2 linked regions of the Saccharomyces cerevisiae S288C genome follow. Changing the gene in region 1 together with any one later gene gives a genetic interaction. Each region holds a gene or a part of one and is shown on either strand. Other genes may lie near its edges. The genes, in order: RFS1 and KIN2.

Region 1 (15,970 bases):
CAGCAGCAGCTGCTGCTGCAGAAGCTGTATCATCATCGTCTTCATCGTTATTGCGATGATCATTCTGGTCATCTTGCAGTAAATGCTGTTCTTCTTCCAATAAGTTTGGATGCAATTGAGACTGTTGTTGCTGGGCTTCTTCCAACATATCGCTGATAACCTTTTTCAGAAGCTCTTCTTCTTCAACGGACCATCTATTTGATGCTCTATTGGTACCACATTTTACGTAGTTTCTCCAACGATCCCTACAATCTTCTGGCATTCTGCCTAAAGTTTTACCTATTTCTGCCCATTGACCTTCTTTTTCTGCACATAATTTAGCTAGCTCTTGTTCCTCCTCCGCGGTCCATTTACCACGTTGTTCAAAAATGTGATATTTTCTTCTCATGTGTTTGTAGATAGAGGAGCTAGATCTATAGGGTAAGACTTTGTAAATATTATTCCAAAAGTTGTCCTTTGGCCTGTCGGAACTCCATATCCTTTCACAAACTTGTTGTCTAGTCAAACGTTCAATGGCCTCATACTCGTTAATAAATCTTTCTAAAGCGGCGTCTTCGGCTTTATCAAAAGCTTTGCTATTGTTAGACCTTGAAGTCGATGGCGTTGCTGAGGATGAGGATAAAGATACCAAAGATGATGCCTTTGTGGCGGCTGATTGAAGTAGTTGAGATATTTCTGAATTGTCCACGCTGCCAGCTTCATTATCATGAGAGGGAGATTTTTGTTGGTGTGGTTGAGTATCTTGAGAGATAACTTTGGGCAAGACTTCCATATAATTTCTAGATTTGTTGAGGGAACTATCCAGCATAGAGTCTTTCTGCAGTTCAGAGTATTGCTTTGTACTATTTGATAAATCATCTGTATCATCATTGTGATTCTTGTTCTGATGATTCAAACCGTGTGTACGCATCAAATGATCTTTAATATGCTTTAATTTTTCGTTATCGTCAGTATCAGCCGCAGTATTCAAGTATTGCTGGAAATCAGGATGTTGGGTAATCGAATCAGCGTCGATAATGGCCTTATGGACCAGTTGATCACGATCAATCACATCATTATTAGTATCGTTGTCATCTGCATCACCCAAGGTGGTTAATTCCGGATCTACGTTTCCAATTTGTCTGTCATCGTCATCATTATTGTTTTTCCGCTTTTTCTGTGAATTCTCATGATTATTTCCGTTATCATGCTGTCTTTTACGCGAATTGCTATCGTTCGCAATACTGTTATTATTATTGTTATTTTTCGATAGAGTGTAAGCAGCAGCGACGGCGGCCATCGCCATAGATTGATGATCATCGTCCACACCAACACCCGCATCTTTCTTATTCTTGTCGTCGTCGTCATCCACGACTATGTCAGATTGAGAAAAGTGATTATTACTGTCATTGCCGTTGTCAGTGTTATTATTGTTTTCGTCATCTTCGTCGTCTTGTTGATTATGCGCTGTTTGCCTTAAATACCAATCCATAACTGCGTTATGTTGTTCATTGGAGTTGGCATGATCCACATTCGAAGATGATTCGTTCGCATTCAATGCGCTAATATTTTCAGAATCATCATTATTATCCTCGTTTCTATTACTGTCATCATTGTTATTAACATCAACATCACTACTACTTTCCACAATATTCTGCTTTTTCGAGTGTTTGTTTTCCAGATCCTTCGTATGCAATTGAGGGTCATGGTTCTGGTGATCTAGACCTACACCGACATATTTCAAAACAGCCTCTTCCACAGACTCTTGATTTGCGTTTTTATCGTTATGACCTGAAGGCATATTGATTGAGCTATAAATATTCTAATTCAGCAGCAACACGTGAGTTCAAACTAATAACGATAGTGTGTAGATAACCTTGCTTGTGATGATGTTTATTTATTTACTTTAGGTTGGGTCCACAGCAGGGTAATAACAGCCTGAGTTTTGTTGTTTTATCTTGTGTGGTCAAGAAAGCTGCCATTTGTTTGTCGTTGTCCTTTGTGAGGGTAGGTCCCTTGGCCGCCTTTGGTTTGCCACCCGGCATGGGCCCAATTTGAAAGACGGGTAACAAAGTTGTTGCTATATATCACGTGATCAATTTTTCCGAGGAGCTTCTAGAAGAAAATGAGACACAATTTCAATGTATTGAAAGTTTACGTAAAATTTATAGGAGCAGGTTGGGTATACTGGTGTCTATGTAAGCGTCAATGTCATTTTCTGTTTCAGCGTCAGTATCAGTATCAGTGTCAGTTTCCGACTCGAAAATGAAGGTCGAATGACTTGAAGTTGACGAAGGTTTTACGGGGGAATGATGACTTATGTTGGATAACTTGAGATCGGAGTCAACCCGAAGCACACTACTGAAATCTGTTTCTCCTGCCTGTAACAAAACATTTCTTGGAACATCGCGAACATCGTGCCCACGCTGATAGTCTCCACTATTACTACTGATAATGGCAGTGGCAGCGGCAGTCGTAATAATTGCGTCACTCGCGACGTAAACGCTGTTATAATCATAGAAACTTCGCTTACTTGCTGCGTTGCCAATACAGGGATCTAGTTCAGACTTTGAACAAGGGCGCTGTTCATCAGTCGAATTCAACCGTGTAGAAGGAAGCCTTTGTATGAAATGCTCATCAGTTATAATACACTGTTCAACGTTATCGTTAAATTTGATATGCCTCTCTCGTGGCTTGCCCATTATATCTCTCCTTTTGCGTGCCTTAAACCAGCTTCTCCAAAAAAGGTTCTCCAATCTTTGATCATTGTCCACTTTCTTGTGTTTTTGTAACGGTAAAACATTTTCATTTTTTACAGTGTTGTTCGAGCTTCTCACATGCTTATTATTTTTATTGTAATTGTTTTTACTACTACAATTGATAAACTTGATGAATTTCCATAAATTTAAATTCAAGATTAAACTTCTTTGCTCGTGAAAGTCGAAATTTTTCTTCTTTACTGCTGGCAACATGCACATTCTTTTCTTGTTTATTTTCCACTGTTTGGCATTCAAAGACTTGATTTTTTTTAAGCAATACGTACCATTTGCAGCGGCGGGAGGATATCCCATATCGTTTCTATTCATCAAAGTTCTGACCGCCTCAACGAATTTACTACTTTCTTCTTCCTCTGGAGGGTCCTGGAATAAGTTATCCAAAGAGTCGCAATTACTCAAAGTCATTCTCACACACTTTCTTGTTCCTATTTTTTTTTTCTTATTCCAATATATTATTTTATCAGAAGACAGACAGCAAGAACGACAGCCTAAGTTTCGAGACAACGCTAAATTTGACGGACATGCGAAGACATGCCATATATAACAGTACGTCCAGGAAGAAGCTGCAACTCAAGAAGCAATAACTATTTTATGCATTATTAGTTAATTAAAGGGGGTATGGTGTGGCTAAAAACGAGTAAAAAAGCAGCTTGTTGCGATGTTAGTAATGATAACTATAAGGTTTCCGTGTTGACACAATAAGCGTATAAATTTAATCACTCCCCCCACGTTTTTTTATCCAGTGCTGCCCCGCCACATGCAATCGGGCCGTCGGAAAAGCAAGAGAAGGACAAACTATCGGGCAAATGGCCTGGAAGGGACCTTCCCCATTGGCCCTTGACTATAGTCCTTCAGTCCTTCAGTCCTTCAGTCCTTCAATGTTACAGTTATACCATATCGTACTTATGTAAAGATATATACGGTTTTACAAATCTTTGATACGGTCGTAAAAGGCCTTCCCTTGAAGTTGGTGAACTCTTAGCTCGGATAAACTGGGAGGTCTGCCACCGTCGATTCCAGAAACACATCCTGCGCCCCAGGCGCAAGACCCGTTCACATCTTCAACGTCGGTCAATTCCTTGTATGCGTTCTTATACCCCAATGGGACATAAATGACACCATGATGGACCAGAGTACTCATTGCGTTCATGATACACATTTCTGTATCACCCTTGCCGCTTATTGCGCCTGAAACAAACAAACCGGCAATTTTGCCATGGAGAGAACCCTTTGCCCAAAGCCCACCAGTATTCGAGTCCCAAAAGCTTTTCCACTCCGCGGGGAAGTTTCCAAACTTAGTAGGTATTCCGAATAAGTAGTAATCGTACTCAACCAACGTTTCTCTTGTTAGGATTTTATAGGAAAAATCTGCATTAGTTTTGGCGACTTTGGCTGCCTCTTTTCCCTCTTCTGTCGCATATTCAGTTTTATAGCTGACGTCTGGCACTTGGAAAATCTCAGCCTCACCACCAGCTATCTCTATACCTTTTTTTTCATTTTCTGCTAATGTGGCAATTATATCGTCCACTGAATAAATCAAAATAGCGACTTTCGGCATTATCTATGTGGCGTAGTATGTGCTTATAATAGTGAGTAGTATGCTGGAGGTCTTGATGTTCGATGTTTCTCGAGAAAAGTGTGATATAAAATGTGGTTTCTTTTTATTTCTTTTCTTTTCCGCTCTTTTATGTATTTTTGATTGTCCGCCCCTTAGGTGTTCCCTCCTTATAACTAGGCAACCAAAATGGAACGGCTATTATTCGATGTATAAGGACAAGTTTGGGAGCTTCGCTTCAATTTGCCCATAAGCGGTGTCATATGACGCTAGTTACATGCGCTGGATACGTATGCTGCATATATATAAACATATGTATATACACCTAGTGGAGAGGTTGTCGCTTTGTAGATTCCAGAGGAACATTTCCGTCTAGCACGTTTGGAATTTTGTAGATGCAGCCACCATTCTTGTCAGTATTGGTTCTTACAGCATCGTTGATTTCTGCATTGGCAGTGGTCACGAAGAGATCTTTACCAACAAAACAACAACATGAAACTCTTGGTGTCTGCTCCGGCAAAATGAACTCCTTCAGCAATTTTCCGTTAGTTAAATCGAACATTTGAACCTTACTGGTGGACCAGACAGTGATAAACAGAAACCCAGAATGTTTTCCGTCTTTGCTAAACCAAATTGCACTTCCATCTGGTTCAGGAGACTCAAAAGATTGATTGTTGGAGTTCTTCACGTCAATTAACTCGTCACGTTTTAGCAAGTCGCCACCAGGACATTTCCAAATAGTGAAGTTTAAAGAATCAGTCACGTACATCGTCTTTTGATCACTTTCATCCCAGTGGATCGCGTTAGGAATTAACAAGCAATTCCAAACAAGCTCTATCTTGTGAGCTAATAGGTCAACACGAAGCAAACACCCAATAGGTTCCAAATCAAATGGAAAATCGCTCATTAGCCCCACATAAATATATTTTCCATCTGGCGAAACGTTCCCATCATTAGATCTCAACTTATATGCTCTGTCTGTACTCAATTCAGGACATTCGGAATACAAAATGACATATTCCCATTCACTTTTGCTAAAATCCAATTTTCCTATGCCAAATTTACTACCAAATAATACTTGTTTGATTTCATTTTGTGAAGCCCCATCAAGTATTGGAAATATACAGCCCACGGATTCTTTTAATTCATCTGGATTGGGAGGGTACTCAATTGACGCATTCTTGCCATAATTGGCTCTACTAATGGAAAAAAAAGAATGACTGGATTCAGGCTGTTCTATGTCTTCGACTTTATGAACCTCTCCTTTAAAAATATCAACCCACAACAGTGTACCGGTTTCCTTAACGAAGGTTATTCCTTCACTATGTATGGCACCGGGAACGTGATAATAAGGTTTTAAATCATGCAAAATAATTTCTTCAAAATCGCCAACACTACTCATTTTACGAAAAGTGTCTAGTTGCTCAATGCATATAAACTTAATCTAAGAATCTTACAGGACATCTTCATATATGTCCATATGCTTTGAATAAGCATTGGCTTCCCCTTAAAGCCCGACCGGGTAAACTTTCACCTAGCTGTTCTTGGCGACCATTAAATAATTTTGAATGCATTTCTAGGAACAAAATCAAGTGCAAGCTACAGCTTTACAATTATAGAATCTGTTGACCAAGTAAAATGGATGAGAAAATTTACGTACGATTTTGTTCCTTATCCATTCAGCTTCTCAGTTAGTCAAGAGGTAGCTGTAGCGGCTTAACGAAAAAGGTATTAAAAAGGGACATACTTTTTTTATATCTTTTCCTTTGGCGTTCACAGTTACTCTTTTAGAACTCCTTGTTGTTGTGTAATGCATTTACCCATTCCCGATATAACTACCACTTTGGAGAACTGTAGACAAAGACCGCTCTTACTGAGTATACATTTTACTTTCGTAGACCGACTTTTAACTCTATTAGGAAAAGCAATTGACTTTTGAACTTCGATGACGATTGTGCAAAATACAAATCGTTTCAAGCGGTGTTCGGAATAGCTCACAGAAATGGCGAAGATATGTTGAAAAATACATACCGATGTCATTTGTGAAAAACAAAAACACAAGCTACAATTTGTATATTTACTCAATTACATATACCAATTGAGTAATAATTAAACAAGAAGGCAAAAATAAACTAAAGCAAAATAGTATACCATCTTTGGTTCCTGGACCACATTTTCTCTCAATATTTTTGAGATGTTTTTCTTTACTTTGTTTTAAGTAGTCTTTCCATCTCCCTTCAACGGAAACAAGTGCACGCAACATGTTATTTTCCTGTTATCCGCCCTGAGCAGTTTTCTTCCCCGGGTGGCAACCATTCTCCAACATTAGACAAACTTTACAAAGAAGACACCCTACCCGGTTGCCTCCAAAGCCCTTCTTTCTTAACGCGAGTACCGCTTTGGGAGGCCTCATCTTGGTTGTGTCCTCGTATGGCAGCATCTGCCATTGAGCGAACCCTTTCCCGTTTTACGCGCATGGCCTAGACCGATCTTTAGCAGACATGCCGAGTGAATTTACCTAAGATTTCTAAGGACTCTTCTGCATGTTTCCGAAAATCACCGGAAAAACCTTCGGTTTTTTTAGACGAAAACTAGGAAGTTGCTTAGCTTTCCTTGTCGTCTTCAAATCTATATGCCATCGGAAGAGAATCAGAAGAGAAGATCACGACTTAAGAGCTTTGCTGTTAAGATAGCAAGAAAGCTTGCCAATAGGCAGTTATGTAACCTAGTTTATCTACACCTTCTTTGATTAACTTAGCTATGTAGGCCGGTGTGTTTGTTCATATCACGGCATACGTTAACACAATGTAAATCTTGCTTTGGGTTGACTGAGGGAAATAACTATAGACATCACACCAATGGCTAAGGGATATTTCGACCTCGCTATGGGTTCTAAATGAGGGAATGGAAAAAAAGGGTAAATTGAAAACAACCTACCGATTTTGGTACCACTTCCGTGATTTTCGATTCTTCAATTTCCGCATAATTTGCCTCAAATAGGAAATCTGAGCTGTTTTTTTCTTACCCTCGAGTGGTCGTTCTGCGGACTTTTCTCCGGTCCAATGCATGAATCCCTTTAAGAAGCATGAAGAAAAAAAAAAATAGCCTCTTGTAAAAGCAAAAATGCCTTTCACTATTTCTGTGTAAACGAATAATTTCGTCATCTTAGTAGTTCACTGGATAATTGTGCTTTCCAATCAGATTAGTTAGTAAAACCCCTAGAAAATTTCAATGTTAGATCGGGATGATTCCTCATCGGGTTGTTGCTTATTCATGATCCTTTCAATTACTGGAAGCTTACCGAAAAGATATATAAAGAACCGAACTTATTCGGTTTACATGTAAGACAGTGTGTTAGTTATGGTTTTCCGCCCTTTTCTTCTCTTGTTTTCTTCGATATTTGTTATTAACCTTTTCTCATTTACGATTATATAATCAAGTGTCAAGATTGTGTCAGCAAATAACAGTAATATTCCAACCCGAAAAAAACTATCTATTTATCTTTGGATACTTTAACATAGACAAGAAGTCCTAAGAACTTACCATAATTTTTTTTCTAAAAACCCTTTTTTACTCAAAACTAATAGCTTATTCTGGTTATTTTTAATCAATCTAGAATTTTTTTCTTTTAATTCCAAACAATCTAATAACGTTTAACCACTAATTCTTTAATTATTAATATTTAATTTTAAAAATCTTCTAATTTTCCTGATAACTTAAAGTGACACTATTTTTTAAAAAAAGCATCAAAATGTCTGATTATGTTGAACTATTGAAAAGAGGTGGTAACGAAGCCATCAAAATTAATCCACCAACCGGTGCTGATTTCCACATTACATCTCGTGGTTCAGACTGGCTTTTCACCGTTTTTTGTGTTAACCTACTATTCGGTGTGATTTTAGTCCCACTAATGTTTAGAAAACCAGTTAAGGACAGATTCGTATATTATACGGCCATTGCTCCAAATTTGTTCATGTCAATTGCTTATTTCACCATGGCTTCTAACTTGGGTTGGATCCCAGTCAGAGCAAAGTACAACCATGTACAAACTTCTACCCAAAAGGAGCACCCAGGTTACAGACAAATTTTTTACGCTAGATACGTTGGCTGGTTTTTGGCTTTCCCATGGCCAATTATTCAAATGTCTCTACTTGGTGGTACTCCATTATGGCAAATTGCTTTCAATGTTGGTATGACTGAAATATTTACTGTCTGCTGGTTGATTGCTGCCTGTGTCCACTCTACTTACAAATGGGGTTACTACACCATTGGTATTGGTGCTGCCATTGTTGTTTGTATTAGTTTGATGACAACTACATTCAACCTGGTCAAGGCCAGAGGTAAGGATGTCTCTAACGTTTTCATTACTTTCATGAGTGTCATCATGTTTTTGTGGCTGATTGCTTACCCAACCTGTTTTGGTATCACAGATGGTGGTAACGTTTTGCAACCAGATTCTGCTACCATTTTCTATGGTATTATTGATTTGTTGATCCTATCTATCTTGCCAGTTCTTTTCATGCCATTGGCTAACTATTTGGGGATTGAAAGATTAGGTTTAATCTTCGACGAAGAACCCGCTGAACATGTTGGTCCAGTTGCTGAAAAGAAGATGCCATCTCCAGCTTCTTTCAAGTCATCTGATTCTGACTCTAGTATCAAGGAGAAGTTAAAGCTAAAGAAGAAGCACAAGAAGGACAAGAAGAAGGCTAAGAAGGCTAAGAAGGCCAAGAAGGCCAAGAAAGCCCAAGAAGAGGAGGAGGATGTAGCCACCGACTCTGAGTAAATGCTTTGATCTGCTGATGTAGCAATGTTTTTTTCCTTCTTTTTCCTGACGTATTATTATTTGAGACCGAAACTTCGCTGGAAAAGAAACACTTCGATCCTTTTTTTATCTTCTGCATTATAACGCGCAACGATGAAGTGTTAATACATGAAAGAAGATGGGATTGGATTGTAGCGACCAAAGGCCACAAATAAATATGCACTGTTTTTAAATTTTTTTTTCATTAAAAAAATACGAATAAATTCCTTAAACACATACATCATTTTGCTTCAAATTTTTACGTTTGTAAGAAAGACCATTTGTTGTCTTAATACCTATGAAGCACTACTTATAATCTTAATTAAATCTAATTCTTTTCTTTAACTTTTTTTTTGAGCATCGCTTCTATCAATTATGTGTATACATACATACATACATATAAATATACGCGCAGGCTAAGTAGAAAACAACGCAAGATAGAATTACTTTATTTGTCATTCATCAAGCGCAATAAAATCTCTCTAGGTGTGCAGTATTGCATTTTTACGTTCTTGGAGGCGGCTATCCATTCGGGTCCGTAAGTAGGCTCACATTGATCGAACATATTGTAGAGATCAACAGTATCCTTGCCTAACCTTGCATATGTCCTAAATAGCCAAACCCATGTATCTCCGTAACGCGAGCACTTTTTCAGAGCTCTTTCTAACCATTTTAATGATGTTTCATATTGCGCTTCTGCATAAAAGGATACTCCAATCTCCAAAAGAACGCGATGATCGTTTTGTGTCCTTCTTAAAGCATCTTGAAAAATTGTTTTTTTTAACGAACTTTTGTTTCCATGCTTAAACAGCTTGATTTGCTCCACCCAAAGTAAAGCATTGCTTGGAAACTTTTGCAATGCCTGTGTGACGAGTAACTCCGCCTGATCTAAGTTACCAAGTCTTATTTCCATTTGGATTTTAGCAATGTAAAATAATACATCGTCAGGATTTTTTAACAATCCTCTATCTAAAATTGATCTTGCCCTTACTGGATTTTTTAGATCAATCTCGTCAATCTTTGATAGGGAAACCCATAATAAAGGGCAATTGGGCACTAACCTTGTACCAGACAAATAGGTTTCTCTACTCATTTCAATATTGCCCATGGAATGATAAATTTGACCCAGCTGTAAAAAAAATTTGTGGCAGATGGGAAATGATTTCAAACATCTCTCATTCAAGAATTTTATAGCCTCTTCATTCAGATCTTGGTACCGCAGAAAGTTTACGTATTTATAATATAATCTTTCCGTGCCACTGATCTTAAAATCCTCTAAAGAGGAGAAAGTTTGCTGAAAAAAATCTCGTAATTCATCAAGTTGTAGTGAACGACCTAATAACTTTATCTTGAAAAAGCGTAAATCCAAATTATGCGGGGCGAAATCTATAATCTGGTCAATCAAAACTAGTGTTTGCCTAGTATCCCCTTTTTGGGCCTTCCAATATTCGCTTACATACATCATTAACAAGCCAGGGCTTTTCTCCCTCATATTTGCTCGTATATCATCACTATTCTTGGTCTGAAATAGCAGCTCCTGGAAAAATGCTAATAACTCTTCAATTTTATGGTAGCTTTCAGTGGCCATTTTCAGTCTAGACCAAAGAACTGTATCACAAGGATCCCACTGAATAAGCTTTTTTAAGACAGCAATTTGTACCTTTGAGTGTGGCATTTTTTCTAATATCTGATCAACATTATTCAACTCAGACTCATACTCGCCACTTTCTCTTAACCATTCTAATATAGCGTAAACGATGGCTTGACAGGTTAAATTTGAATTGGGCGCATCATTTAGAGCCTCTGCACGTTTCAACCATGCTGACAAGGTCGCTTTGTACCCATTTTTAGAGAGTTCCAATAAACCCTCCTTGAGCAAACTAACTAGTTTATCTACAGGTATATCTGGGTTATTTCGTTCTTCCAAGAGTGTAGAGATAATCCAAATTTCCGGTTCTTGCGGAAGGATTTTTCTGAAGGAATTCAAAGTCATTTTAGCATTATGATAGCTTTGCAAATTAGTATATGCAGTCAAGAGATCCATACTTTGTGGAATAAATTGTGTGGCTTTCTCTAACATTTTTATAACTTGCGCTTTGTCAGCTTCAAAACTGACAGCTAGCTTCCATAGGCCCTCATCTCGAGGAATCTCTTGCAGTGCTTTTCTCACTACTCTATATTTGTTAACCGTTGTGCTTTCCAAATCAATAGCTTTGAACCAAAGAAGCGGAGACGTTGGATTAAAATTTATTGCCGTTGCCACTAATGTTTTACAGTAGTGAACATCAGATTCGTGTAGTCTAATGTTTTCTAGCCAAATATCGGAGCTTCGAGGGCACTCTTGGCAACCATTTTCTATTATTTTTTTTGCTACTGAAAATTTTCTTGCCTTTTCTTCTAATCTGGCAGAAGCTATCCAACCCTGTGGATTTGTTGGATCGGCCTTTCTGTATGACTTTAAAATTGTGCGCATTTTCTGTAAATCTTCTAACGTTGCGTCTGAGAGAGAATTTACTCTATCGTTTTCTAAGTCCTTTAAGTAACTTAGGGCATCGGTAGCAGCGTTCGGTTTATTAACCTGTATAGGGTTACTTGCATTCTTCGTTAATTGTGCAAGATTCTCATCTATTTGAGATTGCAATAATTTTTCTCGTTCTTCCGTTAATTTATTTAAATCAACATTCCCAGGTATTAGCGAATCCGGTGCAGCATAAGTTTTTCTGTTTAATTGCTCTTGAATTCTATTTCTCTTGTTTCTTCTTGTAAAATCTGTGGCATCCGGAATATCCATCCACTCACTCTCCGTTACAGCAGCTAATGATTCTTTCAAATCGGCAAATTGCCGTTTCACGTTTGAAGAATCAACTGAATTGTCATCATCCTTTTCATTAGCTCTTTTCTTTTTCTTTTGTGCTAATTTCAATTCAAGCGTTTTGAATACATTTGCAGCTTCATCATCTTCATCATCTTTCGGTTGGCTTTGAAGATGGTTGTTCAAATTTTCACGGTACCTTTTCGGTATTCTTCTTCCTTTGTCATCATTACTAACCACTTGCTTTTCTTTTGTTGAAAATCCAGTGGCTCCACGACCAATACCTGGTACGTAACCTGCAGGTGGTTCTTGATCCAAAAAAGATGGCCTCTCCATAAAATGTGACGTTTTCTTGCTGTTAAACTCTTTATGTCAACTCACCCGTATATTTTCTGAAATTTTTCGTTTTTTTTTGCTTAATAGAACAATCTGACACACTATAAATGTACTGGTTAAATTAGCCCAAGGTTCTATCAACGGTAAAGAAGACTTTTAAAAATACTTTCGTTACATTATTTATTAAAAGAAGAAACGCCATCATTTCATAAAGGTCTCCGGAGGAGCTACTAAAGAAAGAGTGCTGCAATTAATACAATTAATATAAGTGTGGTTATTGAAAATAACTATTCATTTATACGGAGGGTTGGCCGAGTGGTCTAAGGCGGCAGACTTAAGATCTGTTGGACGGTTGTCCGCGCGAGTTCGAACCTCGCATCCTTCAGTAATATTTTTTTAATATACATTTTCTCTGCCATCATGGCTTAAAAAATGCTTAAAAGAAGGGAATTAGGGGGGATGGATGAACTAAGACATAACTTTCTTTTCTTCAATTCGAACTCTGTTGGGAAGAGTTGCTTTAAAAAAGACTCTCTATCCATCTATAAAATTTATTAAAACTTTTGAACTGCACAGAATGATTGGCTCACTTAGAAACAAATTTGAGCATTTCAAAGTTTCTGAAAAGGGAGGTCAAAATTTATCTACAACACTACCGAAACTACCCCCTGCAAAGGACCTTGATAGATCAACTATCTACAAGTACCGTTACAATTATGGTGTAAACTTGGGTGCGTTATTTGTGCTCGAACCATGGATTTTTTCTAAAGAAACCATTTGTACAATCGATGGGAAAGAATATGATAGCGAATTTGATGCTATTTCCCAACAATTGAAGAAGCATTCTTCTGAAGACGTTGCGAAAATGTTAAGCGATCACTATAAAAAGTACATTGATCGAATTGACTGGGAATGGCTATCTAAAGATGCCCATATTACAGCGTTACGTATTCCAATTGGATATTGGCATGTCGAAGATGGGAAGCATTTAGATTCGCTTCCATTTGCCCCATTGAGAAAAGTTTATGAGTTAGCCAAACCTTGGGAAAAACTTGGCGAATTAATCAATAATGCCAAGAAAATGAGCATTGGTGTATTGATAGATTTGCATGGTCTACCAGGAGGCGCTAATTGCGACTCACACAGTGGCTCGAAGAGTGGTGAAGCTGCGTTTTTCCACAAGGAAAAGTACATGACCAAAGTCTACAAAGATATTTTACCTGCAATTATTAACACAATGACTCTGGGCAACGAAAACATCATTGGTATTCAAGTGGTTAATGAGGCATGTTTTGATAATAACCCAAAGGGCCAAAAATTCTATTATTCAGAAGCCATTAATACCGTTGAAAAACTTCAACCAGGTTTACCTGTCATAATATCCGATGGTTGGTGGCCCCAACAATGGGCAGACTGGGTTAAAGAAAAACATTTTAGTGAAATAGTGGTCATTGATTCTCATGTCTACCGCTGTTTTTCTGATTCTGATAAGTCGAAGGATGCCAATTCCATTATCAAGGATTTGCCAAATACTGTGAATTTTCCTCATGAAGATGCCGATTATACTGTTGGTGAATTTTCTGGTGTTCTTGATGGACAAACTTGGAATAAAACTTCTGGCGACAGAGACGCTATTGTTCAAAAATACGTACAAACCCAAGCAGATGTATTTTCTCATGTAGCTAGTTGGGGTTGGTTTTTTTGGACTTTGCAGTTTGAATACGGTGATGGAGGTGAATGGGGCTTAGCTCCCATGATGCAGAAAGGAAATTTACCAAAACGTCCTCACGGTGATGACTTACAAGTCGACAAGAAGAAAATAGATTCAATAATCCATGAACACGAGGCTTATTGGAACGGTAAAGGTAAAAATTTTGAACACTGGAGGTTTGAGGATGGCATAAAGACAGCTGTTGATGATATAATTGCCTTTAGGAAATTTGACAATTCATTAATTGGTAGATGGCATTCATGGAAGTCGCAAAGAAGAGCTGAATACGTTTCTGCCAAAAAAGATAGCGAATTTATGTGGGAATGGGATCAAGGCTACCAACGTGGGTTAGATGAGTTTAATAAGTATTAAGAAATATACAAACACATATATACTAACTATAGGCGTTTCTATTCTTTTGGTTTACTGTCGAAAATAAAAAAAAAGCTGTTGTGGCGGCACTTCGTAAGTTTTCAATTATCCAGCTACTGCCAGTAGAGTACTCAATACTTTTACTTTCAGCTGAAATGAGGTTTTTCTTTAAATGAAGTTGATACGCAATATCATAAAAGCACCGGAATAATGGTAATCAAGATGAAGCGCTATGATATTTTTAGTATTTGCCATCTTCAAATCATTCTATTTTACCCAATAGAACATTCAAGTAAGGTGAACTATTTAAATTAAAAACTCAAGTAACATGGGCGATCTTTAAGCATTTGAGAGTTATTAAAAATTTCCGAATAGAGCAATAATGGAGGAAATTAAGTAAAAACTTTGAGCCAAAATAAATAATATTACAAAGCAAGCCAGAGTCTCTTTTTAATCAGAGGAAAGATGAGTTGATAAGCGTATAAGCTACTCTGCTGTGAATGTTTGAATCAACCTCCCAAAAGATGTATTGGAGGTATTAAGCTGCCTTGAAGTTGGGATTTGGCAGGGTTATAAAAAAGGCGTCATTGGCTAAACATGCAGCCACACATATTGTTGTTTCATAGCCATAAACTTTGATATAATGACCGAAAATTGTTTTTGCGTTGTTCCATAAGCCCAGCTGCCCGTTGGGTATTTTGAACTTTTGTCGCCAGGTATCGGCCGTTCCTAATATTATAGTAGCTTATACCATCAAGAAAGACACTACATCTAACTACTCAAACAAAAGTAACCCCACGGTTATGTTCACCGAGTTGCGTACGGTTAACATGTATTATATGGCAGCGCAAAAAGCGATGGCTGTGACAGATGATGAAGTCATCCATCGGTAATTGTCCATCTTAGGTAACAATTGCGAGGCAAGTAACACAGACTCTCGAGTACTTGTTTTTCAGGGTGTGAGAAGAGCCGTTGTTTACTTAGTGATAATTCACGCTATTTTGTTGAGCAAGTCATTAAACAATCTACTACCTGTAGCTCGTGAGTGGAATATCAAGGTGATATACACTTTTGTGTTCTAATGAAATTCAAATACTAATATTGACGAGTTTTCATATTACTAGTATATTATCATATAAGGTGTAAGAGAATGACATAAAGATTGAAAAAAAGTCAACGGATGTAATGGAAGCTGGATGACAACTTCTACAATGAAAGGAGAATAATAATGCTATAATGTCGAAATAGCAACTCTCTTTGTGAATTCTTCGCGTGGAGTAATTCTAGTGTCTTTTGTATTCACAATATTATAGCGTTTGAAAAACGATGTACTTCCAACAATTATTCCAAAATTCATCTATTTCTCAATGGTAATTCCTATTGATCAATTATTTTTCAAACCACTCAATTTAAAAAATTGTCAGAAATACCATCAATAAAAGGGTTTTATAGTGTAGTGGTTATCACTTTCGGTTTTGATCCGGACAACCCCGGTTCGAATCCGGGTAAGACCTTATTTTTATATATTTTTTCATGAATTATCGGACACTCTTAGAATGGAGATCTCGCAGATATGGGGCTGAGCCGTGCTGCATCAGTTAAGAAAGAAATAAGCCACCTCGAT
Region 2 (16,673 bases), on another chromosome or scaffold:
CTGAAGATGACAGCAACCTGACTAACAACGAAACTATATCAAATTTCCGGATCATTCACACGGACGATCTTCCAGAAGGGATAAGGCCGTTCAAGCCAGAAGCACAGGATTCAGCGCATCAGAAAGCAAGAAGTTCGTACTGCTGTATCCAATGATGGCATCAATAACTTTTTATTCTATTTTTTTTTTTTTTTCATAAGTTATCCTACCTGTATATATGTATATATATGAAATTCATTTACTGAATGCGGTGAAGAATGAAGTCTTTCGCACCTTCAGTAGAAAAATAGGAAGAATCCCCATCGCGGCGGACATAAAGCAAGCATACAAAGGCCTTCTATCAGAACAGCGATTGCGAACTTGGAGCAACAATGGCGTCCCAGGTTAACGCCTTATTACTGCCGGTCATAGAGTCTACGCCGCTTCATCAAATAACCAAGGTAGCATTGACGACCACACTCACAAGTAAACAAAGCGATTACAAGTTCAAAGAAATAGCCGTGCCGTTAACAAAATCACTACAACTGTACGAGAAGGCGCAAAGAAGACAAGATTTAAGGGCAAGCTTAAAAGCACTGGAGAGTATCATTTACCAAACGCACTTCCAATGGAATAACCCGCTCCCACGACATGCGCATCTCTTCCAAAAACACTACCACTTTCTACTGACTCACTGGCCATTTGAGAACCACAGAGACTTGGTAGATTCCATCGCTGTAAACAATGGGAAACTAAATTCAACGTCTTCAAGGAGCGTCTGGCTGAAGGCGGATTGGATAACACTGTTTAACGTTAAAAACCCTTGGGTCCAAACGCCGCCATCGTTAATGCGTCTGAGTGGGACAGATCTTGATACCTTCACACCAGAGAGGATATTCCTGATAAATTCTCTTGGAAACCACTACAAATTTTTAATAGCGAACAGTCATCTAAGCTACAATCACAAAAAATACCCCTCCCCTGGCGTGCAAATTCCTGTCAGGAACGCTCTTGGCGAAGTTTCTCCGGCCAAACAAATTGCCCAACTTTTCGCAAGACAGCTGTCTCATATTTACAAGAGCCTCTTCATAGAAAACCCCCCGCTCTCTCCTGAGAACGAGCTGGCATTGACTGCCGTCTTCTATGACGAGACTGTAGAGCGACGCCTTAGAAGGCTCTATATGCGAGCTTGTGCAAGGGCATATACGACTACTAATGCCGACTCCACCACGGAGCCTTTGATGTTTCATTGCACCCGGTGGGAAGTTGATTAGTTGTTGTTGGCTGTTATACTGGAGTAAATGTCACGTGCCACTGTGGCCGTGTCAGGTCACGTGAAGAGAGAAATTCGGCCACAGTTGTGGTCCTAAACAAGGACTGAAAAAGATCGCAGAAACTAGCAACGTCGGATAGCGGTATGGTTGAACCAAAGTCCAGTTTTTAGTCATAGCCGGTTGAGGGATGATCTGCCGTTCAGTGTTCTGCGTTCAATAATACGCATATATATATATATCAAGGTATCAACACAATACTTGAACAGGTTAGGCTCGTACTAAAGCCTGGAAGTTTTTATCTTTCTGTAACATTTTTCTTTCTTGAGGTGTGTGTGTGTATAGATTAGCAGGGAATTATCTAAGATATGTCCAGGGAAGGTTATCCAAACTTTGAAGAGGTAGAAATTCCTGACTTTCAGGAAACTAACAACACCGTTCCAGATCTTGATGATTTAGAATTAGAGTATGACCAATATAAAAATAATGAAAATAATGACACGTTTAATGATAAGGACTTAGAGAGCAATTCTGTAGCAAAGCACAACGCAGTGAACAGCTCAAAGGGCGTAAAAGGCTCGAAGATTGACTACTTTAATCCTTCAGATGTCTCGTTGTATGACAATTCCGTTTCCCAATTTGAAGAAACAACGGTATCGCTAAAAGAGTACTATGACCACAGTATACGATCTCATCTCACGGTGAAAGGAGCATGTAGTTATCTTAAGAGTGTTTTTCCCATCATCAACTGGCTACCACATTACAATTTTAGCTGGTTTACTGCGGATCTTATTGCAGGAATTACCATTGGCTGTGTTCTCGTGCCGCAATCCATGTCATATGCACAAGTCGCCACGCTACCAGCGCAGTATGGGTTGTACTCCTCGTTTATTGGTGCTTACTCCTACTCTTTTTTCGCTACATCAAAAGATGTTTGTATTGGGCCCGTGGCTGTCATGTCTTTGCAGACCGCCAAAGTCATTGCGGATGTCACGGCAAAATATCCTGATGGAGATTCTGCCATAACTGGTCCCGTTATTGCAACGACTCTAGCGTTACTATGTGGTATCATTTCGGCAGCAGTTGGCTTCTTGCGTCTAGGGTTTCTTGTCGAACTGATTTCCTTAAATGCAGTCGCTGGATTTATGACTGGATCCGCGTTTAATATCTTATGGGGTCAAGTTCCAGCACTAATGGGTTACAATAGTTTGGTTAACACGAGAGCTGCCACCTATAAAGTGGTCATAGAGACCTTGAAACATTTACCAGATACCAAACTGGACGCAGTTTTTGGGCTAATCCCGCTTTTCCTTCTTTATGTTTGGAAATGGTGGTGCGGAACATATGGACCAAGGTTGAACGATAGATACAACTCCAAAAACCCAAGGTTACACAAAATTATCAAATGGACATATTTTTACGCTCAGGCTTCCAGAAATGGTATCATTATTATTGTATTCACTTGTATTGGTTGGGCAATCACAAGAGGCAAATCTAAATCGGAGAGGCCCATCAGCATCCTAGGCTCAGTTCCATCCGGTTTGAAAGAAGTCGGGGTTTTCCATGTTCCACCAGGATTAATGTCTAAGCTTGGTCCAAATTTGCCTGCATCCATTATTGTGTTATTGTTGGAGCATATCGCTATTTCGAAGTCTTTTGGTAGAATCAACGACTATAAAGTCGTCCCCGACCAAGAATTGATTGCTATTGGTGTCTCGAACCTTTTAGGTACTTTCTTCAATGCTTACCCAGCGACTGGTTCCTTTTCAAGGTCTGCTTTGAAGGCTAAATGTAATGTCCGTACGCCGTTATCTGGTTTGTTTTCGGGTTCATGTGTTCTTTTAGCATTATATTGTTTGACCGGCGCATTCTTTTACATTCCAAAGGCTACCTTATCTGCAGTTATCATTCACGCTGTATCTGATCTTTTGGCCTCTTATCAAACTACCTGGAATTTCTGGAAGATGAATCCATTGGACTTCATCTGTTTCATTGTCACCGTCCTAATAACGGTATTTGCCTCTATTGAAGATGGTATTTATTTTGCCATGTGCTGGTCATGTGCAATGCTCATTTTAAAAGTGGCTTTCCCAGCGGGAAAATTCTTGGGTCGTGTGGAAGTCGCTGAAGTTACTGATGCTTACGTCAGACCGGACTCCGATGTGGTTAGCTACGTGTCTGAAAATAACAATGGTATTTCCACTTTAGAAGATGGTGGTGAGGATGACAAGGAAAGTTCCACCAAATACGTCACAAATTCCTCCAAGAAAATAGAAACAAACGTTCAAACAAAGGGCTTTGATTCTCCATCTTCTTCGATTAGCCAGCCAAGGATAAAATACCATACTAAATGGATACCGTTTGATCATAAATACACAAGAGAATTGAACCCGGACGTTCAGATTCTCCCCCCACCAGACGGTGTTCTTGTTTATAGGCTATCAGAGAGCTACACCTATCTCAACTGTTCCAGACACTACAACATCATAACCGAAGAAGTTAAAAAAGTTACCAGACGTGGTCAATTAATTCGCCACAGAAAAAAATCTGACCGTCCATGGAATGATCCTGGTCCATGGGAAGCACCTGCTTTCTTAAAGAATTTGAAATTCTGGAAGAAAAGGGAGAACGACCCTGAATCCATGGAAAACGCGCCCAGCACCTCAGTCGATGTTGAAAGAGATGACAGGCCATTGCTGAAAATACTATGCTTAGACTTCTCACAAGTGGCACAGACAGACGCTACGGCTCTTCAATCATTGGTTGATTTGAGAAAGGCCATAAATCAATATGCAGATAGGCAAGTTGAATTCCACTTTGTGGGTATCATTTCACCATGGGTGAAGAGAGGTTTAATTAGCAGAGGATTTGGTACTCTGAACGAAGAATACAGTGATGAATCCATTGTTGCCGGTCATACAAGTTATCACGTCGCCAGAGTACCTCAAGGCGAAGAAAATCCTGAAAAATATAGCGTTTATACCGCTTCAGGAACAAATCTACCTTTCTTCCATATCGATATCCCAGATTTTGCTAAATGGGATATCTAGCCAATGCATTTACAATGGACATGCAAACATTTATATCATCTCTTTTTTTCTATATTCCTAAACCAAAAAGTTTTCCCCCTTAAAAGTATACATTTAATATCATAATGAGATAGACACTGTTTATATAATAAGAAATAATAGGTAGGATGGTGCCATCGTGAGCATATACATACCTATAAATATTTACCTTATTTTTATTTTATTTTTCTCTTCCTCTCAGGAACAAAAGAAATACAACCGTTATTAATGTTATTGTCGTGGGACAGCTCCCCTTTTTTTTTATTTACTTACCACAGATAGAAAAACATGAAAGCAGCACTTACAAATAGTATAATAGTGAAAGTTAATAACGTAATATTTTTGACCTTCTGCCACCACATTATTTCTTTTATATTGACCGCTTTGCGCCTAAATTTATTACTGCTGCTATTTAGTTGGGAAGTTTTATCCACCAATAAAGAAACTCTTTCTTGTCTCTCCAAGAACTTGTCGATGTTATCGTTCATTATCTGGATGACGTCCTTTATTTGGTCTTCGGTGGCATCCCCGATGTCACTTATAGTGTTCTGACCATTCCCATTACTAGATTGGCCATTTCCAGAACTATTTAAAGTTTGGTTACGGTATTCGACCAGCTCTTCATGGAAAGAGTCTAGTATTTGACCTACATGCGAACTTAAAAGTTCGTTTGTAGCGTTGGACTCGTATTCCTGCAGCCCACTTAGTATCCTGATGGGCAAAATCTTGGGCATATCTACTAATGTGAAGCAAACGTACACAGTTTTGGGGTCATGGTCATCCGTGGAGTAGAAACAATCGAATCCGTCGATGAGATTCATTGACATCTTGGTAACTTTGTTCCCCTTGATCGGAACTACTTTGGGTAATACCATATCCATGATCAAATTATGGAAAATGACCGGCGTTATCTGCTCGTTTGCTGAAGTTATTGTACCATAGTTTTCGTTTTTCTGGAACGGCTGGAAACAACTAGATATTGTTTCACCATTTTTTATAACTTCCACATAACTTACTAAGACCATATGCAAAATCAAGCAAAATGGAACGTTAGTCTACTGAATGTAACATAGTAAAATTATGGCATGGGGGGATGAGCATTCGCATAATCCCTTTTTTAAACATTTGTTAATTGTGTAGAAATATTTATACATACCATTAAAGCGTTTCATTTGGTAAAAATATAAAAGTCCAATGCTCTAACAGCTTAATAAATTGTCGCTTTTCACTCTGTTCTTCAAATTTAATAGCTGTTGCTCCAACTTAGTCAAGTGCTAGAAAATTCATAGAGGGGCTTTTTTTCATCATTATTGTGACCTCATTTTTTCTTTCTTCGATCGTTTGAGGCGAATATTACCCGGGCGCTTGGTGGTAATGCGTTGTTTTAAATATTATATATAATGAATGTGGTGGTAGAATATATAGTTTACTATTTTTAGATAATGCAAATGGGTGGGGTGAAGGCGATGAAAAGGTGGGGGGTCTATCAGAGAAACCTGCTGTCACACCAGCCCTTTACGACATATTGAATCTCTCTCGTAGGTGCGGAAGTCTTATTGGTGACTTTGCCTAAATTTAGTTTTCCGCATGGTTTGAGCATTGTGCCGCCATTGTTGAACCATGGCTTGACGTCTGAGTGTACGCGGACCAAAGAACTTTTCAAATCCGCCGTTGCATGTTCGCTTGCGGATTCACGGCCTTGCGAAGGTTCCGTATTGCTTGTCGTTGCAACAAAGTGCAAATTCCAGGGGGTAGAATCGCCAAAAAGATCATTTCTTGTTTCATGGACCATGTCAGACCATAATTTTTTCCTAGTAATTAGGGCAAGCTTAATATCGTTCGTAGAGACATTTGGCTCCTTTTTGATTTCCAAAGACCGAATTTCGGAATACGTTAGCTGCTTCAACAGATGGTCATCTACTTCGACTTCGGGTAAAATACTCTTCCTTTTACATGATGTTTCAATAGAGTATAACTTTAGGAAATTGGTATTCAAACTTTTTTGTCTTATTCTTTTATTGGGCAAGAGCTCGCTAGATGCAATCGAACCGTCGGTCTCGGGCGATGGTGATGCAGATGGCCATTGTTCTAATTCTACCAGGTCATTTTCGTAAATCATGTTTTCTGTAGTCGATTTGCTCCTACTCTTCCTTCTTGAAGTCTTGCCGCCTTTCTTGTCGATGATTTGGAAGTCCACAGAGGTCGGACGAAGTTTGGCATCGGACGACGCAGAAACCAGTGAAAGGGCAGAGGACGATCGCGGACGCCGTTCGTATACGGGAGGAAAGATATCGACTAAATCCTTAACCTCCCAGTCGTCGAACAAATCGAGATCATTTATGTTTATTATTTTCATTTTGGGCACGACCGGCTCAGCCAGTACCTCATCGCCAATCGCGGGGGTCTGCAAATCGACAGCGTCAGCAATATCATCTGTCAAGGGATGAAGTTTAGAGGAGCTCAATGAAGAACAGTCGCTTTGAGCTTCCTCGGAGAACTTCCTCTTTATGCTCTGTGTTAAGTGGCCCTCATGTATGGGGCATTCGCCCGATAACGTCTTGGCGGAATTTGTTTTCCTAACTTGCGACATGACCGAGCTTAAGGACGGGGTCATCAAAGATGAGCGATTTTCGTTCAGCAGTTCGGAATCGTCTCGAGCCTTCAGTATTCTAGTCCTCTTGAAGCTATTCCTCTTGGTTAGTGTTCTAGTACGTTCAGCGCTTCCTTGACCATCGAACTGCGGCTTAGTGGAGTGGAAATAAATCTCATCGCTCACCGTCCTATTACTTGTGGCGGTCTTGTTCATGCTGGCGCTGGCTAACTTGTTATTCTTCTTATTAGTAGCGGTAGCGTAAAATGACTTGGGATAAAATACCTTTGATGAGTCGCTCCATGAGTGCAATGCGCCATCATCACGTATGCTTTTGATGAGGCAATGTTCATGCACATGAGCATCGTGCATTAGTGTGTGATTTGTGTTCACGTCCAGCAGCATTCTATAATTATGTCTTGTTGAAAGTGTTCTGTATGTTCGTGTCTATCCAAAGAAACAAGTAATTGAGAAAACTAGCCATCAAATACTTGTGAAGAAGCGAGTTTCCATTCTCTGTTTCACTCGTTTGGCGTTCTCACCATCCCACTTTTATTTCATTGGCTTTTTTAACACAATAAGGCGCCTTCAGCACCTTTGCCGCGCATTAAGGATGGCCACTGACGAAAAACCGGATAAAAAAAGACGAAAAAATGCCGTCTGACCCTAGTCAGGAGCCGCCTCATACACCCTAATTATTTTGGCGCTAAGCCCTAAGCATCATTATTACCCGACATGAAGCGACAGAAGCCCTACGGATGTGCGGCTGGAAAAGAAAGTTTCATGAAGAACCAGTTGATATATATTTTACTATATACTTTTGCTGTGTATTTCTATATGAGGCTAGTTGGTTGGTGGGAACTGGAAGTGAAAGTTCTGTTCTTTAGGGTGCAGCGGTTGCTGTTGCTGTTGCTGTTGCTGTTGCTGCTGTGGTTGGATTGATGCTTGTGATGTTTGTGGTGCCTGTGGTGCTTGTGGTACAGTTTTGCTGCCAGTTTGCTGCGAGTATGTAATTATGGGGTGAGCGGCATTTACATTAGGTGCTGGATTGATGGCTGGATTTGTTTTTTCGTAAGCGGCGATACTAGGCGTTGTGCTACTTGACATGTTTGCAAATGCATTATTAAACACTGGAGGTGAGACAGACTCGGTTAGTTCCCTTTTCTTTGCAAGCTCTTCGAGCCTTTTCTTTTCTTCCTTCATTTTTTTTCTTCTTTCACGGTCTTCCTGTTGTTTTCTTTGTTTGGCCCTTATTATTTTCAATTCAGGCACAAAAATGTTGCGCAGCTCAAGTTCCAAGTCCCTGATGCACCAAGCGCAGATAAAAGTGGAGCATTCAGACAGCGGTTTGCGTTTATCAGTAGGTCTTGAAGACTTGGTGCTGGGTTCAAGTGTGGATTGGGGTCTGCGAGAAGACCTTCTATTGCCGTGCGAATTTCCCATTATGATGACGCCAAAATCACGTTGCGACAGCGTGTGCTGTGGGGATTTTGTGGTTGAAGATATAAGCTCTATAATTTTTGGAGGTTGGCATTCCCAATGCTGCCACCTGTAACAATGATCACAGCATATCAATGGGCGGTTATTGAAGAGGTCAGTCTCCGTGTCTTCGGTGATAATCATGGGCGCCAGCTCTGGTTCGCCCGGACATTGGAAAACAGAATCTTGGTTGTCGGGCTCTTGCTGCGGAGTAAAGATCCCGTAGTTGGCAAGCTCATCTAGCTCTTCCTTTGTTATGCAGAAGTCACTAGGCAATTCAGGGACGTCTCCCGTCTGTAGTGGCCCAACAGTTCCAGGAATTGGTGGTTCCACCGGGATTATACTAGATTGAAAGTTAGGGCCGTGATCAAGAACTCCGATATCGATTTCATTTAAGGGATTGTCCTCCTCCCTGCCCAAAGACGTTTCAAAAAACGGTGTACCAGAACCACTTCTATCTTTGAGCTCGTTACGCCTGGTCAATTTTTCATCTCTATAATCTTGATCGTACAATTGCCACAATTGGTTCCAAAGAAGATCTTTTATCTTTTTGATTTCCTTCGACACTAGCTTGTTTCTGTGCCTTATAAATTGTTCTCTTTCATCTAGTTTTTCAAACCACTCACTTTCCAAGTCTTTTTTCTTGTTTTCTTCCTCTTTCGCTACCAGTCTCGAAGATCTTTTCCTCCTTGTCATTAGCTCCGCAATTGCTCTCTCCTTTTCTCTGTTGGCCAAAAGTTTTGCCGAATATAGTCTATGTTCGGCATACACCGGTATTAAGTTAGTTATGAACTCATCTATGGCTTTCGAACTTTTATTCTCTGACCAGTATTCTAGCATGGACCCCCAATTAGTTGTAATCACATCATAATCAATTGTAATCGATTGAAGATATGCATCGATATCGTGAGAGTACTCGAGATGAATAAGCTCCACTGAATCAGGAATGTCTGGGTCGCTTTCTTTTATAGTACAGTTCTGTAGTTTTATTGGGATATTCAGAGTTTGAGAGACTTGGGAGGAAGAGCCTTCTTTTACTCTGTGAATGGTTTTCTTTACGAGTACACCAACATTGGGTAAGGCAAACAAGCTCTTCATTTCCTCCCCTCCACTATTATCATCATCCAGTATAACTTCACTAAACGTAAACAGATGCAAGTTATTCGCTAAGTAGTTTTTGAAGATCATATTTTTCATTTCAATTAATTTTATGATACTGTAAATGATGTCGAATTGGCGTGCAATTTCAAGCTCCAAAAAAGGTAAGTCCGTAACCAAATCTGAATACGCGCTCGAGTTTTGCAAGTGATGGTTAACTATAACATTCCAATCTTTCAATTGCCCGCTTTTATTTCCCGCTAATTGATGCAATAATTGCAATCTAATTCTGTCGTACAAATTTTGCGATCCTTCATCTACGTCGACTTCATCATTGTAATAGTTCGAGTCCTTCCCGTCTATCTTCGAAAATACGTCAGTTACAAATACACCTTCATCGAATTTGATATTCTTCCACAAGCATTTGGTAGAGCTACCGCCATACTGGTCAGTATTAAATGTCGTTGTAGTATATGATTCGCAGACATTGGAAAGCCAAGCCATCACATACTGGAAGTGCCAGTGATTGGCCAAGTCCGCGATCTTCTCATCTAATATTTCAGAATACGGCAGCTGGTGCTTGTTCAATTGGGCTATTATGTCTTCGGAGACATATTCTTTCCAGTCTTCACTATCCGCATTCGCAGCGCCGGCAGGCATGCTCGCTCCTACATTTCTTGTACCCCTAGTTCTCTTCGTTCTCATCGATCGCTGATTCACCGCTTTGTATCTATATATGATTAGCCAGTGTGTATGAGTAAAATAGAGCAATTGATCTAGTTTCTTAGTCGTGTCACTATTGAATAAATAAATGTTAATGTTGCTGGAAAGGAAGAATTATGTCACTTTTGACGCTCTCGCATTCCGTGTGCGGTGATAGCGGTAACTTGGTCTAGCAACGAAAATTTAAAAAGGTTGGAAAAGGAAAAGAAGAGCTCAAGTGGACCTAGAAGTCCTGCTTTGCCACCGTTTAAGCAAGGAATAGAGCACGCCGTTGACACAAATTCACAGTCAAGGACGGGCCACGAGAACTTTATTACAAAATATACTGCATTACACGAAATTCAGCGGAACTCTGAGCGCGAACAGCATTAGGTACCGAGAAACGCTTTTCAAAAGAAATTTCTAAAAGTTTTATTGTGCCATTAATATCGCGGCTCAATTGTTAAGTATTTCACTATGCCTAATCCGAATACAGCAGATTACTTGGTGAATCCAAATTTCAGGACCAGTAAGGGCGGATCTTTATCGCCGACGCCAGAAGCTTTCAACGACACGCGAGTTGCTGCACCAGCCACTCTTCGCATGATGGGCAAGCAATCTGGACCAAGAAATGACCAGCAACAAGCACCACTGATGCCTCCTGCAGATATCAAACAGGGCAAGGAACAGGCAGCTCAGAGACAAAATGATGCATCGAGGCCTAATGGCGCCGTGGAATTAAGGCAATTTCATAGAAGATCTTTGGGAGATTGGGAGTTCCTTGAAACGGTTGGCGCAGGCTCTATGGGTAAAGTTAAATTGGTCAAGCATCGTCAAACAAAGGAAATTTGTGTAATAAAGATTGTTAATAGGGCTTCCAAGGCTTATCTCCATAAACAGCACTCTTTACCTTCCCCAAAGAATGAGAGTGAGATATTAGAAAGACAAAAGCGGTTAGAAAAAGAAATTGCGAGGGATAAAAGGACTGTTAGGGAAGCCTCTTTGGGCCAAATCCTTTACCATCCTCATATCTGTCGTTTATTTGAAATGTGCACTATGTCAAACCATTTTTATATGCTTTTTGAATACGTTTCCGGTGGACAGCTGTTAGATTATATTATTCAGCATGGCTCATTAAAGGAACACCATGCGAGGAAATTTGCCAGAGGTATAGCTAGTGCGCTGCAATACTTACATGCCAATAATATTGTTCATCGAGATCTGAAAATTGAGAATATAATGATATCTAGTTCAGGTGAAATTAAGATCATTGATTTTGGTCTTTCCAACATTTTTGATTATAGGAAACAATTACATACGTTTTGTGGTTCCTTGTACTTTGCAGCACCAGAACTATTAAAAGCGCAGCCATACACAGGACCTGAGGTAGATATTTGGTCGTTTGGTATTGTTCTTTATGTCTTGGTCTGCGGTAAAGTACCATTTGATGATGAGAACTCAAGCATTTTACATGAAAAAATAAAAAAAGGTAAAGTAGACTATCCTTCACACTTATCCATTGAAGTTATATCTTTATTAACCAGGATGATTGTTGTCGACCCATTAAGAAGAGCAACATTAAAGAATGTCGTTGAGCATCCATGGATGAACAGAGGATACGATTTTAAGGCTCCATCATATGTTCCTAATCGTGTTCCATTAACCCCTGAAATGATAGATAGCCAAGTTCTGAAGGAAATGTATCGCCTAGAATTTATTGACGATATTGAAGATACAAGAAGATCATTGATCCGATTAGTAACTGAAAAGGAATACATCCAACTTTCCCAAGAATACTGGGACAAATTATCCAACGCCAAGGGGTTGAGTTCAAGTTTAAATAATAACTACCTAAATTCAACGGCACAACAAACCTTAATACAAAATCATATTACAAGTAATCCATCGCAAAGTGGTTATAATGAACCAGATAGTAATTTTGAAGATCCTACTTTAGCATATCATCCATTACTATCAATATATCACTTGGTTTCAGAAATGGTTGCACGGAAATTAGCGAAGTTGCAAAGAAGGCAAGCATTGGCCCTGCAAGCGCAAGCTCAGCAAAGGCAACAACAGCAACAAGTAGCACTTGGCACTAAGGTCGCCTTAAATAATAACTCCCCGGATATTATGACCAAAATGAGGAGCCCTCAGAAAGAAGTAGTACCTAATCCTGGTATTTTTCAAGTGCCGGCAATTGGAACATCGGGAACCTCAAACAACACTAATACCTCAAACAAACCTCCACTGCATGTAATGGTTCCTCCTAAACTAACAATACCGGAACAAGCGCATACTTCTCCAACATCTAGGAAGAGTTCCGACATTCATACGGAATTAAATGGTGTTTTGAAATCAACACCAGTCCCCGTGTCTGGCGAATATCAGCAACGTTCTGCTTCACCCGTAGTAGGTGAACATCAGGAAAAGAATACAATAGGCGGCATATTCAGAAGAATATCACAAAGTGGACAATCTCAGCATCCCACACGGCAACAGGAACCTCTTCCAGAAAGAGAACCTCCAACATATATGTCAAAATCAAATGAAATTTCCATCAAAGTACCGAAAAGCCATAGTCGTACTATATCAGATTATATTCCTAGCGCTAGAAGATATCCATCTTACGTGCCAAATTCTGTTGATGTAAAACAGAAACCCGCTAAAAACACTACCATAGCACCTCCTATAAGGTCAGTATCACAAAAGCAAAACAGTGATCTTCCAGCTTTACCTCAGAACGCCGAACTAATTGTTCAAAAACAACGGCAAAAACTATTACAGGAAAATCTCGACAAATTACAAATTAATGATAATGATAACAACAATGTGAACGCTGTAGTCGATGGTATCAATAATGATAATAGTGACCATTATCTCTCCGTTCCGAAGGGTCGTAAGTTACATCCTAGTGCAAGGGCTAAATCGGTGGGGCATGCTCGTCGTGAATCTTTGAAATTTACTAGGCCGCCTATACCAGCAGCCCTTCCGCCATCAGATATGACAAACGATAACGGCTTTTTGGGAGAGGCAAACAAGGAGAGATACAATCCTGTTAGCAGTAACTTTTCGACCGTTCCTGAAGATTCTACCACATACAGTAACGATACTAACAATAGACTGACTTCGGTGTATTCTCAGGAGCTTACTGAGAAGCAAATTTTGGAGGAAGCTTCAAAGGCACCCCCCGGGTCTATGCCATCAATTGATTATCCAAAGTCAATGTTTTTGAAGGGTTTTTTCTCTGTACAAACAACCTCCTCTAAACCATTGCCTATTGTTCGTCACAATATCATATCTGTTTTAACAAGAATGAATATTGATTTCAAAGAAGTGAAAGGCGGGTTCATATGTGTCCAACAAAGGCCATCTATTGAGACTGCAGCTGTCCCTGTTATAACCACTACTGGCGTGGGTTTGGATTCCGGAAAGGCGATGGATCTGCAAAATAGTTTAGACAGTCAATTATCATCCAGTTACCATAGTACAGCGTCCTCAGCATCAAGAAATAGTTCGATAAAACGCCAAGGTTCTTATAAGAGGGGCCAGAATAATATACCACTAACACCTTTAGCGACCAATACACATCAAAGAAATTCATCTATCCCAATGTCTCCAAACTACGGAAACCAAAGTAATGGTACATCAGGGGAACTATCTTCCATGTCATTAGATTATGTTCAACAACAGGATGATATTTTAACAACATCAAGAGCCCAAAATATAAATAACGTAAATGGTCAAACAGAGCAAACCAATACTTCTGGTATAAAAGAAAGGCCTCCTATTAAATTTGAGATTCACATTGTAAAGGTTCGTATCGTCGGCCTAGCAGGTGTACATTTCAAAAAGGTTTCTGGTAATACGTGGCTATATAAAGAATTGGCATCGTATATTTTAAAAGAATTAAACCTATAGATACGTTGTTCTTACTAAATATTTCAACGTGTGTCTTTCAATTTTTATTATCTAATATTTATCTTTTTTTAATATTATAGTATAATTTATTTAAGCTGAGATCTGCTTTCTTTAATCTTTCATATGATGAAATAATAGTTCTACATAAATCTATAAGAATAATAAATAAAGTAAAACAACTGCAAAAAACATCGATGTCATCCAGGATCCTTGAAAGATTTCACTCTGGAGAAGAAAAAAGATTTCTCATTTCTCAACGAACAGTTAGATGCATTCCCTTCCTTATCCACTACAATTGAACTTAGCCATTTCAACCGTTGATATCTCTTATTGCCTTGATTCTTGATTTGGAATTCTTCGATAAACGTATACTTTTCATCTGACCTTGTTATCTTTAAATGACCAAAATCATAATCAAATCCGAGGCTCCAATAACACATATGACTATGCCTGGGTTTGTTCTCTTTGGAGAAGTGCTTCACGACAGCGCTAGGTTCATCTGTAGAAAGTAATCTCAAACATTGGCCGTTCTCATAAAATCTGAAATACCTGTAATAGGTGATCATGTGAACTGGCTTTAAAAGAGATAACGAACTTTCTGCATTGGAACCGTATCTTACATAATTTACTACACTGATGTAAACACCTTCGAATTTAATATATGGCCTTTCCCTTAACATACGATAATCATCACCCCGCCATATTTCCTTTTCAAAGGTATTTATATCGGTGATTCCGTTAAGATCCATTGCCATTTTGTCGTATATTTGCTTAGAATATATGTACTTCGCGAAAGTTTTAAATGGCACAGAATCGTGGAAGCAAAGCTTGCTAAAGGTGGAACAAGTCATCGACAAATTCACCCAAGATTCACCAGACATTAATATAACTTTTTTAATAATTCTCAGTAAAATGTCGTCAGGCAAGATTTCCAGAATCCAGCAGGGTTGAAGTTCAGCATTTTCTTCAACAGATAAGTCATCTTTACCGGTTTCATTTTGTTCATCTGGAGCATCAGTAGTCATTGATAATCCCGATAGTTTTTTGTGCAGCATCCACTCATCAAGTATTTTTTTTCTGTACAGTGATTCCACATTATCATGGATTTTCAATGCACTTCGATAGAAGTTTATAGCATCTGACATTGACCCATCCTTCTCTTTCAGTACACCTTTTTCCCAAATAGCAATAGCCTCTTTAGCCCTAGGGTCCTTTTCATAATCTACTATCATTTGCTCCTTGAGTTTAGCTTATGGAACACATGTGTCGTCGCCAAAGATGATGGGGAATGTTTGCTTTTATCTTGCTCAGTCGATTTCGCTATCTAGGAACTACAATCCTTTTTTTTGTCATTTGGAAGGCTCTTTAAAATTCCGAATCGATAAGTTCGGAGGTGGGAAAGGATAGCGGTATATTCCTTCCCAAATAAAAAGGCTACAAACACATTACATAAAGAATATTTGTTCAAGTAAACATATCCTCTTCACTCAAGATTACTTCGACAAACCATCATTGGTGTTTCCACCAATCAGCATATCAATCTCATTCAATAAAGTAAAGTCAAAATTGTACTCTAAGGCAAAATCGTTACCGTGAGATAGAGTCCCTAATAAATCCATAGTTTCTGAATTATGCAAAGCATCTTCAGAGTTTTCTATGAATTTTCTAGCAAGTTCGTAATTCAGGGTAGGCGCACTTAAAAAATTTAAGAAGTCTTGTTTTCTATCCTTTTTAATCAAGTTGGACTTCATGCATTGGATGGCTAAAATCGCAGAATAAATCATGTAAATTGTGGCCTTCTCAAACGTCTTAAATTTATTTTTCCAAACTTTTAAAAGATAATACAGTTCATCAACATAACCTTCAACCAATTCCCGGCTTTGTTTGATTTCGTATATGAAAGGTTTATTATAGGAAATTAGCACGATATAGTAATGAAACCATACGTAAGCTATGGTTGGGTTAAAATCTGTCATTTCCATCAATGACCTCTTGGTCCATTGTAGTTCAGGGGGCAAATCCCTTCTCCAATTGTATACCTCCAGATTAAATTTGGCCAAGTATTCACTCCTTTGAAGTAGAGTTTCGTTTGGGCTGAAAATCTTGGATGCAAAAATCTCCGTTATTCTCGATAACACAATCAGTTTCTTCAAGGGGTTTGCAGTGGACAATATTACTTTTGGGTCATATATGTACTCCTCTATACCAGTCTCAATTTCAGGTAGCTCGTCTGTTTCTGGAACAGTGGAATTGGACAAACGCAAGGAAGTTGATCTTCCAAAGAGGATCGCTATTAAATGATCAGCAATGTAGCAGCCCCAATAAATTCTACTTCTCACTTCAAAATCCATTATTGACAGCTCGTCTTCATAAACATTACTCCATGCTTCTGGATTCAAATGTAGGCCGATTTCGTGGGCAATCCTAAATGCCAGCCCAGAAAGATACCAAGCCATGGGGTTTTCTCCGCTTCCAATGTCATAAAATGCCAAACACAATAGAGTCTGGATGATTGCTAATTTCGAAGAGGACGACGATTCAGCTAACGAAGAATCTTCCAGTTGA

Evidence for each region.
Region 2: mutations in RFS1 (region 1) and KIN2 together harm fitness more than expected from each alone (negative genetic interaction), as found in Saccharomyces cerevisiae (3 studies listed by BioGRID).

The regions. Positions count from the first base shown.
Region 1 is NC_001134.8:335,039-351,008, forward strand, and holds RFS1 (flavodoxin-like fold family protein), read right to left. Parts: upstream 4,315-15,970; coding exon 3,682-4,314; downstream 1-3,681. Other genes in the region: DNA-binding protein REB1, read right to left, coding at 1-1,780; protein phosphatase regulator REG2, read right to left, coding at 2,145-3,161; YBR053C (regucalcin), read right to left, coding at 4,637-5,713; YRO2 (Yro2p), read left to right, coding at 8,063-9,097; U4/U6-U5 snRNP complex subunit PRP6, read right to left, coding at 9,564-12,263; MRX18 (17-beta-hydroxysteroid dehydrogenase-like protein), read left to right, coding at 12,841-14,346.
Region 2 is NC_001144.5:321,926-338,598, forward strand, and holds KIN2 (serine/threonine protein kinase KIN2), read left to right. Parts: upstream 1-10,664; coding exon 10,665-14,108; downstream 14,109-16,673. Other genes in the region: XDJ1 (Xdj1p), read left to right, coding at 1-155; GEP5 (Gep5p), read left to right, coding at 372-1,253; SUL2 (sulfate permease), read left to right, coding at 1,619-4,300; NYV1 (Nyv1p), read right to left, coding at 4,588-5,333, 5,475-5,490; GIS3 (Gis3p), read right to left, coding at 5,805-7,313; IOC2 (Ioc2p), read right to left, coding at 7,752-10,190; SCF ubiquitin ligase complex subunit HRT3, read right to left, coding at 14,306-15,340; CHA4 (Cha4p), read right to left, coding at 15,602-16,673.